Xenopus tropicalis: one gene and its partner. The protein of the gene in region 1 interacts with the protein of each later gene in a biochemical or structural test. Links are inferred from orthologs where the notes say so. Each region holds a gene or a part of one and is shown on either strand. Other genes may lie near its edges.

The links.
Region 2: the proteins of parp2 (region 1) and hpf1 form a complex in vitro, tested with the Homo sapiens proteins (2 studies listed by BioGRID). The link is inferred for Xenopus tropicalis from reciprocal best matches to the Homo sapiens genes PARP2 and HPF1.

The regions. Positions count from the first base shown.
Region 1 is NC_030677.2:143,423,566-143,427,386, forward strand, and holds part of parp2 (poly [ADP-ribose] polymerase 2), read left to right. Parts: intron 1-313; coding exon 314-450; intron 451-1,738; coding exon 1,739-1,945; intron 1,946-2,408; coding exon 2,409-2,516; intron 2,517-2,604; coding exon 2,605-2,675; intron 2,676-3,821. UniProt on the Homo sapiens protein: Poly-ADP-ribosyltransferase that mediates poly-ADP-ribosylation of proteins and plays a key role in DNA repair.
Region 2 is NC_030677.2:49,949,230-49,953,839, reverse strand, and holds the start of hpf1 (histone PARylation factor 1), read right to left. Parts: upstream 2,976-4,610; 5' UTR 2,949-2,975; coding exon 2,859-2,948; intron 2,704-2,858; exon of another isoform or gene 2,685-2,703; intron 188-2,684; coding exon 28-187; intron 1-27. UniProt on the Homo sapiens protein: Cofactor for serine ADP-ribosylation that confers serine specificity on PARP1 and PARP2 and plays a key role in DNA damage response.

The DNA of each region.
Region 1 (3,821 bases):
AAGGAAAAAATTGCCATCAGTGGGGACTGAATAAGCCACCTACACAAAAAAGAGGGTTGACCAAATGACAACTAGAGAGCAGCAAATTTGAGGTATAAAAGAGATGCTACAGATAAGACACTGTGTAGCAATTTAGTAAAAGGTAATTACTCATATAAATTATATAAGTATATAATTACTAATATAAAATTATGATTATGTTTTACTTATAGTAACCTTTTACATTTTTATTGCATATAACCCCTCTTAAGTTTTTTGTGTGTTGAATAATATCTTGAAGTGAAAATTCAAAGTTGTTTTGTTTCTTCTTTAGTTCAGGGAAACGATTTGTGACAGTCTCACCAGCTGCAGGGGTGTCGATAAAGGTAGATATGCAGAAAATGGTTCAGAAAAACACACAGACTGGGTACCAGAGATTTGTCCGACTGGCAGTTCAAGATTGTGACAAATGTAAGATGCCAAATAATTTTCCCTGCGATCGTGTCTTTGAATCATTCTTTAATTTAGAGTATAAACATTTGACTGCAGAGAAGAACCAACATGTAATCTTTCAAATGATTAAAGATTTAAAAGATTAATTTCATAAATATTTATTTCAAATGGCCTTACTTTTGTGCAAGCCATGTATGCTTATAATTTAATATATATATATATATATATATATATATATATATATAATATGCTGTTACTTAATAAACGTCAAAAGCCAGCTTTTACTAATTCCACTAAAATTTTGCAGTTTGGGACATTGTTTCGTTCTGTGGAAGATATAAACTTATGTCACAAAAATAAGCAGTATGGACATAATCAGTTAATTATAGCTCTGGCATAGAATAGCTAATGCCATGTAATATTTATAGAAAGTGAATGTAAATGCTACTTATAGGCATCCTTCTTGCCTCAGACATTATAGGATAAAAATGGATTTAAAGGGGATATATAGCATATTCTAAAAACACCCTCATCATATAGGCAGTGCTAAATACATGGTGGCTGATTGTATTTGGGCCTAAAAGCGTCCTTAACTAGGAAGGGCAGATGCCATTAAAGGAGAAGGAAAGGCTAAGTCACTTGGGGGTTCTAAAATGTTAGGCACTCCCAAGTGACTTTAATCGCTTACCTTGTACCCCGGGCTGGTGCCCCTGTTAGGAGAAAACAGCACCAGCCCAGGGTACCTCTAGCGATGCGCTTCCTCCTTCTGGCTTCATTTCGCTGCGACTAGACGATAGGCGCATGCGCAGTACAGTGAAAAGCCGACTTCTCTGTTAAAGTTCGATTTTCACTCTACAGCGCATGCGCGCGCTCATGAAGACAGAAGGAGGAAGCGCTGCAGCTACCCCGGGCTGGTGCTGTTCTCTCTGAACAGGGGCACCAGCCCGGGGGAAAAGGTAGGCGATTCAAGTCACTTGGGCGTGCCTAACATTTTGGCACCCCCAAGTGACTGATTTTCTTACAAGCTAGCCTGCTTGTACAGCTTTTACAGTGACACAAGTCCATAGGATAGTTTTTCCAGCTTTAATTTAGCAGATACTGTGGATCAAAGTGGACAACCGTGGGTCAGATGCAACACCCTAATGATTTTGTTCCCATCAAACCACTACAGAGCATAACAAAAAGTTATTGTTTGTACTGTACTCATAACTTTTGAATCAGCTAGAAAATATCAGCACCTTAATTACAAAGTAGTTTTTTTCCTTGTAAAGTTAGTGTGCTTTATTGCGATTCTGTTGTCTTTCAGATTTTGTGTGGCAGTGGTGGTCTGATGAGGGAGACTGGATTTCCTATGATGCTTGCACGTGTGTGGCTCTGGAGGCTGGATTTCAATCAGAAGCTAAGATGGTGTCTGTAAGCTTGGGGGGTCGCCCATACATCATCGATTTAGAAACAATGGTGCAAAAAAACAGTCAAACTGAACATGAAAGACAGATTCAACGCTGTTTATCTGGTAGGTTCAAAGATGTTAAGAAAAAACCAGTGAACAAGTCTTCATAAAAGTCTTCTAAAATGTTTTGAAATTGCTTTGAGAGCGTTATTGAGAGAAGATTATATTAAACTAGGTATGTATGAGTGAATTCTCTTTTTTCAAGTTGGTAGGTAACTTGTGCTGATTTGATAAAGGCTAATTATTGGATCATATTTAGGAGCTATGCAGATCCAGGCAGAGGACCACAAATGCAGCCCAGTACAGTCCGTGTACTGCTGTACTGATCAGTATCCAACAAATACTAAATATCAGTCTGATACACTACATACATGGGCTGATAAGTTGCTAACTCACTCAAGAGTTGGCCGAGTGGGCAGCCAATATTGGCACATGTATGGCCAGCCTAGTTTACTAGTACATGTGTATGCTGTGAAATAGGAAAACATAAAAGGGCTTATCTGGCCTGGTTTCTCTTTTGCTGCAGGTCCTAGTAGTGCTCCTCAGCAAAAGAGCACCATTAGTGCACCTGCAAAGAGATCCCGTGGAAGCAAGAGTGTTATAAATGTAGAAGATGAATCAGAGGAGAATAAAGGTAAATATAGCAATATTTCTTTTATTGTTGAATTTTTATCTCTTGTGTCAAAAACAAATTATTTTTACTGAAGTGCCTCTTTAAACAGAACAGGTTAGGACTCTGGTAATGAAAGGCAAAGCTCCAGTAGATCCAGAATGCTCCACGAAGCTGGGGAGGGTATGTACCTAACTTCTTAATGACTATTTATCAAAGTCTTGCTGCACATGTAATGGACAAAACTAAATAGGCTACCTAGATTTTATTGCTCAACAATACTGCAAAGTCCCATGACAGAAGAGACCAACACAGGCATATGTTGTGATTAAATCTAGTGCCATGCATTATTTCTGCTTTTCCCTATATCCTGTGCCCCACCTAAGTTATCATTTAAAAAGTGCCAACATATTCCACAGAGCTATACAATAAATGGGTGTATGCAATACACACAAATATTTTACAATACAGAAACAACCAATAAGCAAAAGTCAAAATAAGCTTATTATTGTTATTAATTTAACATATTTATAAAGCAGAATTATATTCTGCAGTGCTGAAATAATCACTGAATTGCATACAAAAATACAACTGATAATCAAAAGAGGTAAAGTGGGCCCTGCCCAAAAGAGCTTAGCTCTTCAGCATATGCCATGCCCTCCGATACCTACTTCCCTAAACTCTCTGATATCTGCTTAGTATCTATCTTGCAGGGTTAAACATCTTCCTCCAAGCCATCCAATGACTGTGCAACCAAGCCAGATCTAAGTTGCTCTTAGTAACGTTAAGATTTTTCTCTCCCTAACAACCAATTTCAGTGCAATCCGTCAAATCTGTCAAATTATTGTAAGGTTAGTGGACACTAAATGATCAGACAGGTTTGAAAGTTTTCATTGTTAATGAAATTTGCCCATTGTTCAGTTGTTTGCAGGACCAAACAGGTAGTTTTTCTAGCTTCAACTAGACAATATCGCTTAAATATGGCTTAAAACGATCATTCCAGGATAAAGCTGCCCATACACGGGCATATCCGCTTGCTTGGCGATGTCGCCAAGCGATCGGATCTTCACCTGATATCCCCACCTACGGGTGGGCGATAGGGCCAAATGATCGAATTCTAATGGCAGCAATGGGGCAGTCGGTTCGCGGACCGCATTAACGAGCCGATGTCCCCGATCCGACTGAATTTTCTAACCTGGCCGATCTGGCCAATTTCAGGCCCCTTGTTTCTGCCCCTACACGGGCCGATAAGCTGCCGAGTCGGTCCAAGGGACCGATATCGGCAGCTACTATCGGGCCGTGTATGGGGACCTTAAGCTCAGTCTTACG
Region 2 (4,610 bases), about 93 Mb from region 1:
TGCAGACGTTCAAGAAATACACTTTACCACTTGGTGCTTCTGAGTCAATATCTGCACAAAAAGCCCAAAACTGGTAGAAATCCTCAGGCATGGTGAGCCGATACTGGGCCTCTACCTCTTGTTGTACATCCTTCGAAACCTCTGATCTGCCCGAGTGCCTCTTTTTTGCATCACACGGTTCTTCACACTGTTAAGAAGAACATTTAAAACATCAGTATCAAGGATTTTAGTTACATAACAGAAATGCTGTAAAATAACTCAATTGTGCACTTGGACTGTGTTGTTCTAGATTTTCCATGCTGTGGGCCATTTACCCTTTCTTTCTCATGTAATACAGGGGATGGATTTTAAAACATTCAGATCATTCTTCTGAAGGGCCACCTTTGGCCTAAAACATCTAGGGGGGAATTCACAAAAGTGGAGATAGCCCTCTTTTGGAGTAAAAGTGGTGGAAAACACTTTCTCCAGATTCACAAACAGAAATCCGCCTAAATTCCGACTCAACCGCCACTTTTCTGTTTTTGGTGAAAGAAAGACAGTTTACAAACACTTTTGTGAATTTGTCGTTTAAACGACATTTATACGACGTTTTAACAACATTTTTCCCCCGACATTTTCAAAATGGAGTAAAGCTCAGTGTAACTCTGTCAGACCAATTCTAAGCTCTTCTGTTTTGTTTGGTTTCCCCCAGTCTCCATTTCACACCTAAGGTAGGGGCCCCATTGGGGGGTCAGTAACATATTAATGGGGATTAGCAGCCTATTGTTAGGGGACAAGTTTCTGTCTAACCCTAGAACAATAGGTGCAAAAGCCTCATTAACATTTTATAAACAAGTAAAACACTGATTAAAAAAAGTTTAATTTATATCTTATATATAAAAAGTTTTTACCTCACATTTGCATTGCTATGCTAGTTTTAGCTTAATCAATGAGACAATAATAACATTTTGCGTGAATATATTGTAAACATTTTTATTAAAAGGAAAAGTAAAGCCTCCCAGGCAAATTTTTAGTTTTAGCAGCAGTGCCCCCTCTTTAACCACTTCACTGACATTTGCCCCAACTTATCTGTGCCCCCATAGCCTGTCCAGAACTACAGAGCTGCCTGACAGCATTGGCCCCCACCTGCTCCCAGCAGCCATCTTGGTGGCACATACACACTAGCACCCAAACTGGGATATTGGGGTACAGGGTTGGACTGGCCCAACAGGGCACTGGATAAAAACCCAGTGGGCCCTAGTCCTGTTGGAGCTCTATTCACTGGGCATGTAGGTGTGGGGGCTGGATTGCTGCTGCCCAGTAATGAGCAGGGGCTAGAGAAGACGGTATTTAGACCCTTAAATCTTGTTACAGAAGTGGAATTACACAGAAATATAGAAAACATTATAAAGCCCAGATTGTCCTGAAAAAATGATGTATAGTTTCCCTGGGCAAACTAAAAATTACCCCTCAGGAAATGCCCCCAAAGTGAAATGGCATATAAAATGCAAAATCCTGCTGGTAAAATCCTTACCCCGAAGGCTCCTGTAGCTGTGGGACTGGGTTTGGAGGCACAGACAGATTTACTAACAGCTAAAGGCAAATTCATAAAAAAAATGTCTGGAAAATGACAAAATCTGAAAACTGTCTGTTTAAAAGACAAATTCACAAAAGTGGAGATAGATAGATTTGTCGGATTTTCCACCTAATTCACAAACATCTATCTTTTGTGAATTCCCCCCCTAGTCTTGCTTAAAATTGTATACAGCCGGCTTAGCTCAAGAACAATTGTGGAAGGCCCTAACCATCTATGCACTTTCTGTATTCAGTTAACCTCTGATTGCTGCTTCTCAGCTGAGCCATAAGCCTATTACAAGTCTAAAAATGCAATCTCAAAAGCCACTAATAATAAAGTGAAATGGCATTAGCAAAAGTGCTGAGGGAAACCAGTCCAAAACCTGCCCTTTATCCTTGCAACATTGCCAAGGCACCCCCCTTTCTTTCTCAAGCAACTGCTAAAATACTCACCCATGCCCTTATCCTATTCCAACTTACTACTAACCTCTCTCCCTGCAATCAAGCTAAACCTCTGGTGAACCCTCCCAATCTCTCCTAAGAGGGAACCCACTCAACCGCTGGTAAAATCTAGCTTTATCGTGGCTGCCTGTTAAGCAAAGGATAGCATACAAACCCTACTGCTAACATTCAAAGCCTTTCACTCCTCTGCCCCTTAAGGTGCCCATACACCTTAAGATCCGCTCGCTACGGGTGGGCCCTGGGGCCAAACGATCAAATTATAATGACGGGCATAGGCAAAGTTGGTCCGGGGGCCACATGATTGAGCCAATGCGGTCCCCGATCCGACTAGATATCGGTCGGGCAGGCCCGTTAGTAGTCCCCATACACAGGCCGATTAGCTGGCGAATCTGTGGGACCGATATCAGCAGCTAGAATCGGCCCGTGTGTAGATTCCACACTTAATAACAAAAATATCTTCAATTTAAAAAAGTGTCGTGTTTTTATATACTTGTCCTGTCTGTGTGTACTTTTCTATAAAGTCAAACCGTACAGTGCTGTGAATCCCAGTAGCATAATATAAAGTTAAAAATATATACAATTCATTGATCAAATATTTGGGTATAGATTCTCTTTAAAAGGCCAGCAACGTGAGGTAATGTCAATATTTGGAAATACATTTATTATACCTGTCAAAATACTAATTTCATGTGAGCACCAGATACACTGTGCTTTATACTCTCTTCTGAGCCACACATACTGGACCGCGTATCTTCGCGTATGTTCCACCTTACGAGACAATTAAGGAGCTAGTTTGCAAGCGCTTTTCGTTATGTTCCAGACATTTTACCCCTAGCTCTCACCTGCTGAGCAGCCGGCTTTTTCCTTTTCCCTTTCCCGCCTCCAGCCATGACAGGTCTCCTGCCTCTTCCGCGCACTTCCAGTGACGTCATCACAACGTGCCCTTCGCTTCACCTCACGCATGGCGCCTTTTGTTAGAGCCTGGCGGTAGCTCGCAGGGGGCCACGTATTTCATAAAATAAGCAAAGCTAAGGCAAGAATAGCGGACAGTGAACCTCTTACATCAAGGCATAACATGCCTGTAAACGGGACAAAATTACATTCTTCTTGAGCTGGTAAGGTGTAACTCTAATTAAACCACTAGAGGGCAGGCTTACTCCAAACAACCCAGTTGTCCAAGTAAGAATAGAGAATAAAGGAAATTCATACAAGATTATCGCACTGTGCAGTTCTAAAAATGGTCTCGGAATTTTATATTTGCAAGCATTTTTATGATGTTCTGCTTAAATGAAGTATTCTGGTATAAATGTGATAGGGCTGAGAATTATTAAAGGGTTGGAGGGGCTTGTTTGTTGGATACAGAAGTCTGTAAAGGCTGGGGCTGAAGCTCAGGGCCTAGGGCAGTGGTGGCAAATAAGGTTGCCCCCTGGCTGGAACGTTACTAACCTGGCTAGTAAAACTGATGTCTGCTGTCAATGTAAATAAGGAAGAAAGATAATATCGAAAGGCCAGTACTGTGTTACAAAAAAAGGTGGCAACCCTAATTATTATTATTAATAACATTTATTTATAAAGTGCCAACATATTCTGCAGCACTGTACAATAAGTGAGTTTCATACAATGGACATACAGAGTAACATATAAAGCAATCAATAACCGATACAAGAGGTGAAGAGAGTCTTGCCCAATAAAGCTTACAATCTTACAATCTACAATCACAAGTAAAGCAAAATTCATGGCTTAGGGCTGTGACACAAGGGAAGATTAGTCAGCGTGCAACAAATCTCCTTTGTTGCGGGCGACTTATCTCCCCGAAATGCCATCCCACCGGCTAAAATGTAAATGGCTGGTGGTATGGCATACGAAGTTTCCTCTCAAGACGCTCCCTTGCCCTTATCTCTACTACTCCACCTTGTGGTTGTGGGGTGTCCAATAAGGGGCCCAGTTACTAAAGTTTGTAAGTTTGAAAGGTTAAAAAATACAACTCTTATAAAGGCATCCTTTTGTATAACTTATAGCGCTGGCTTATTCTTGTGTGCCTGCTGGCATTCAGTAGCAAATGCGCTGCTTGAAGATAGCGAGTCCAGGAGTTAACGCTCTGTCTCCTCCCTGCTGCCGCCGGCAGCCTTACTGTAAGTCACATGAGCCGATTTTTATCTATCGCACATGCCTATAAAACTAAGTTCTCCTCTCAGCAATAACGCACAGCTCGGGACAAGTGGACAGATTTTGTGCGCATGCGCATTAGCGATTTGTGGTCAGCGCTTCCTTTACTAAGATGGCGGCAGTGTTACTAAAGACAGGATGCAGATTAGGAACAGGTAAAACTTTTTAATAAAAGGATTTTATGGACTAAAAACATAGCGATCTTCTAGTAGTATCAGAGACCTACTATAGGGGCAGGCATTATATTTTTACATTCATTCTTCTTTAAGTGTAAAAACCATTAAAAACACTAATACAAACATCTAAAATTATTTTTTTCACATGTAAGCTCGTAAATATTCTTCCAAAAAGGAGGCTCTTGAGGTTTTTTTTCCCATGCTTTTTATATTAGGCTGTTTTAATAAATTACTTGACATCTGTGGTTTTAC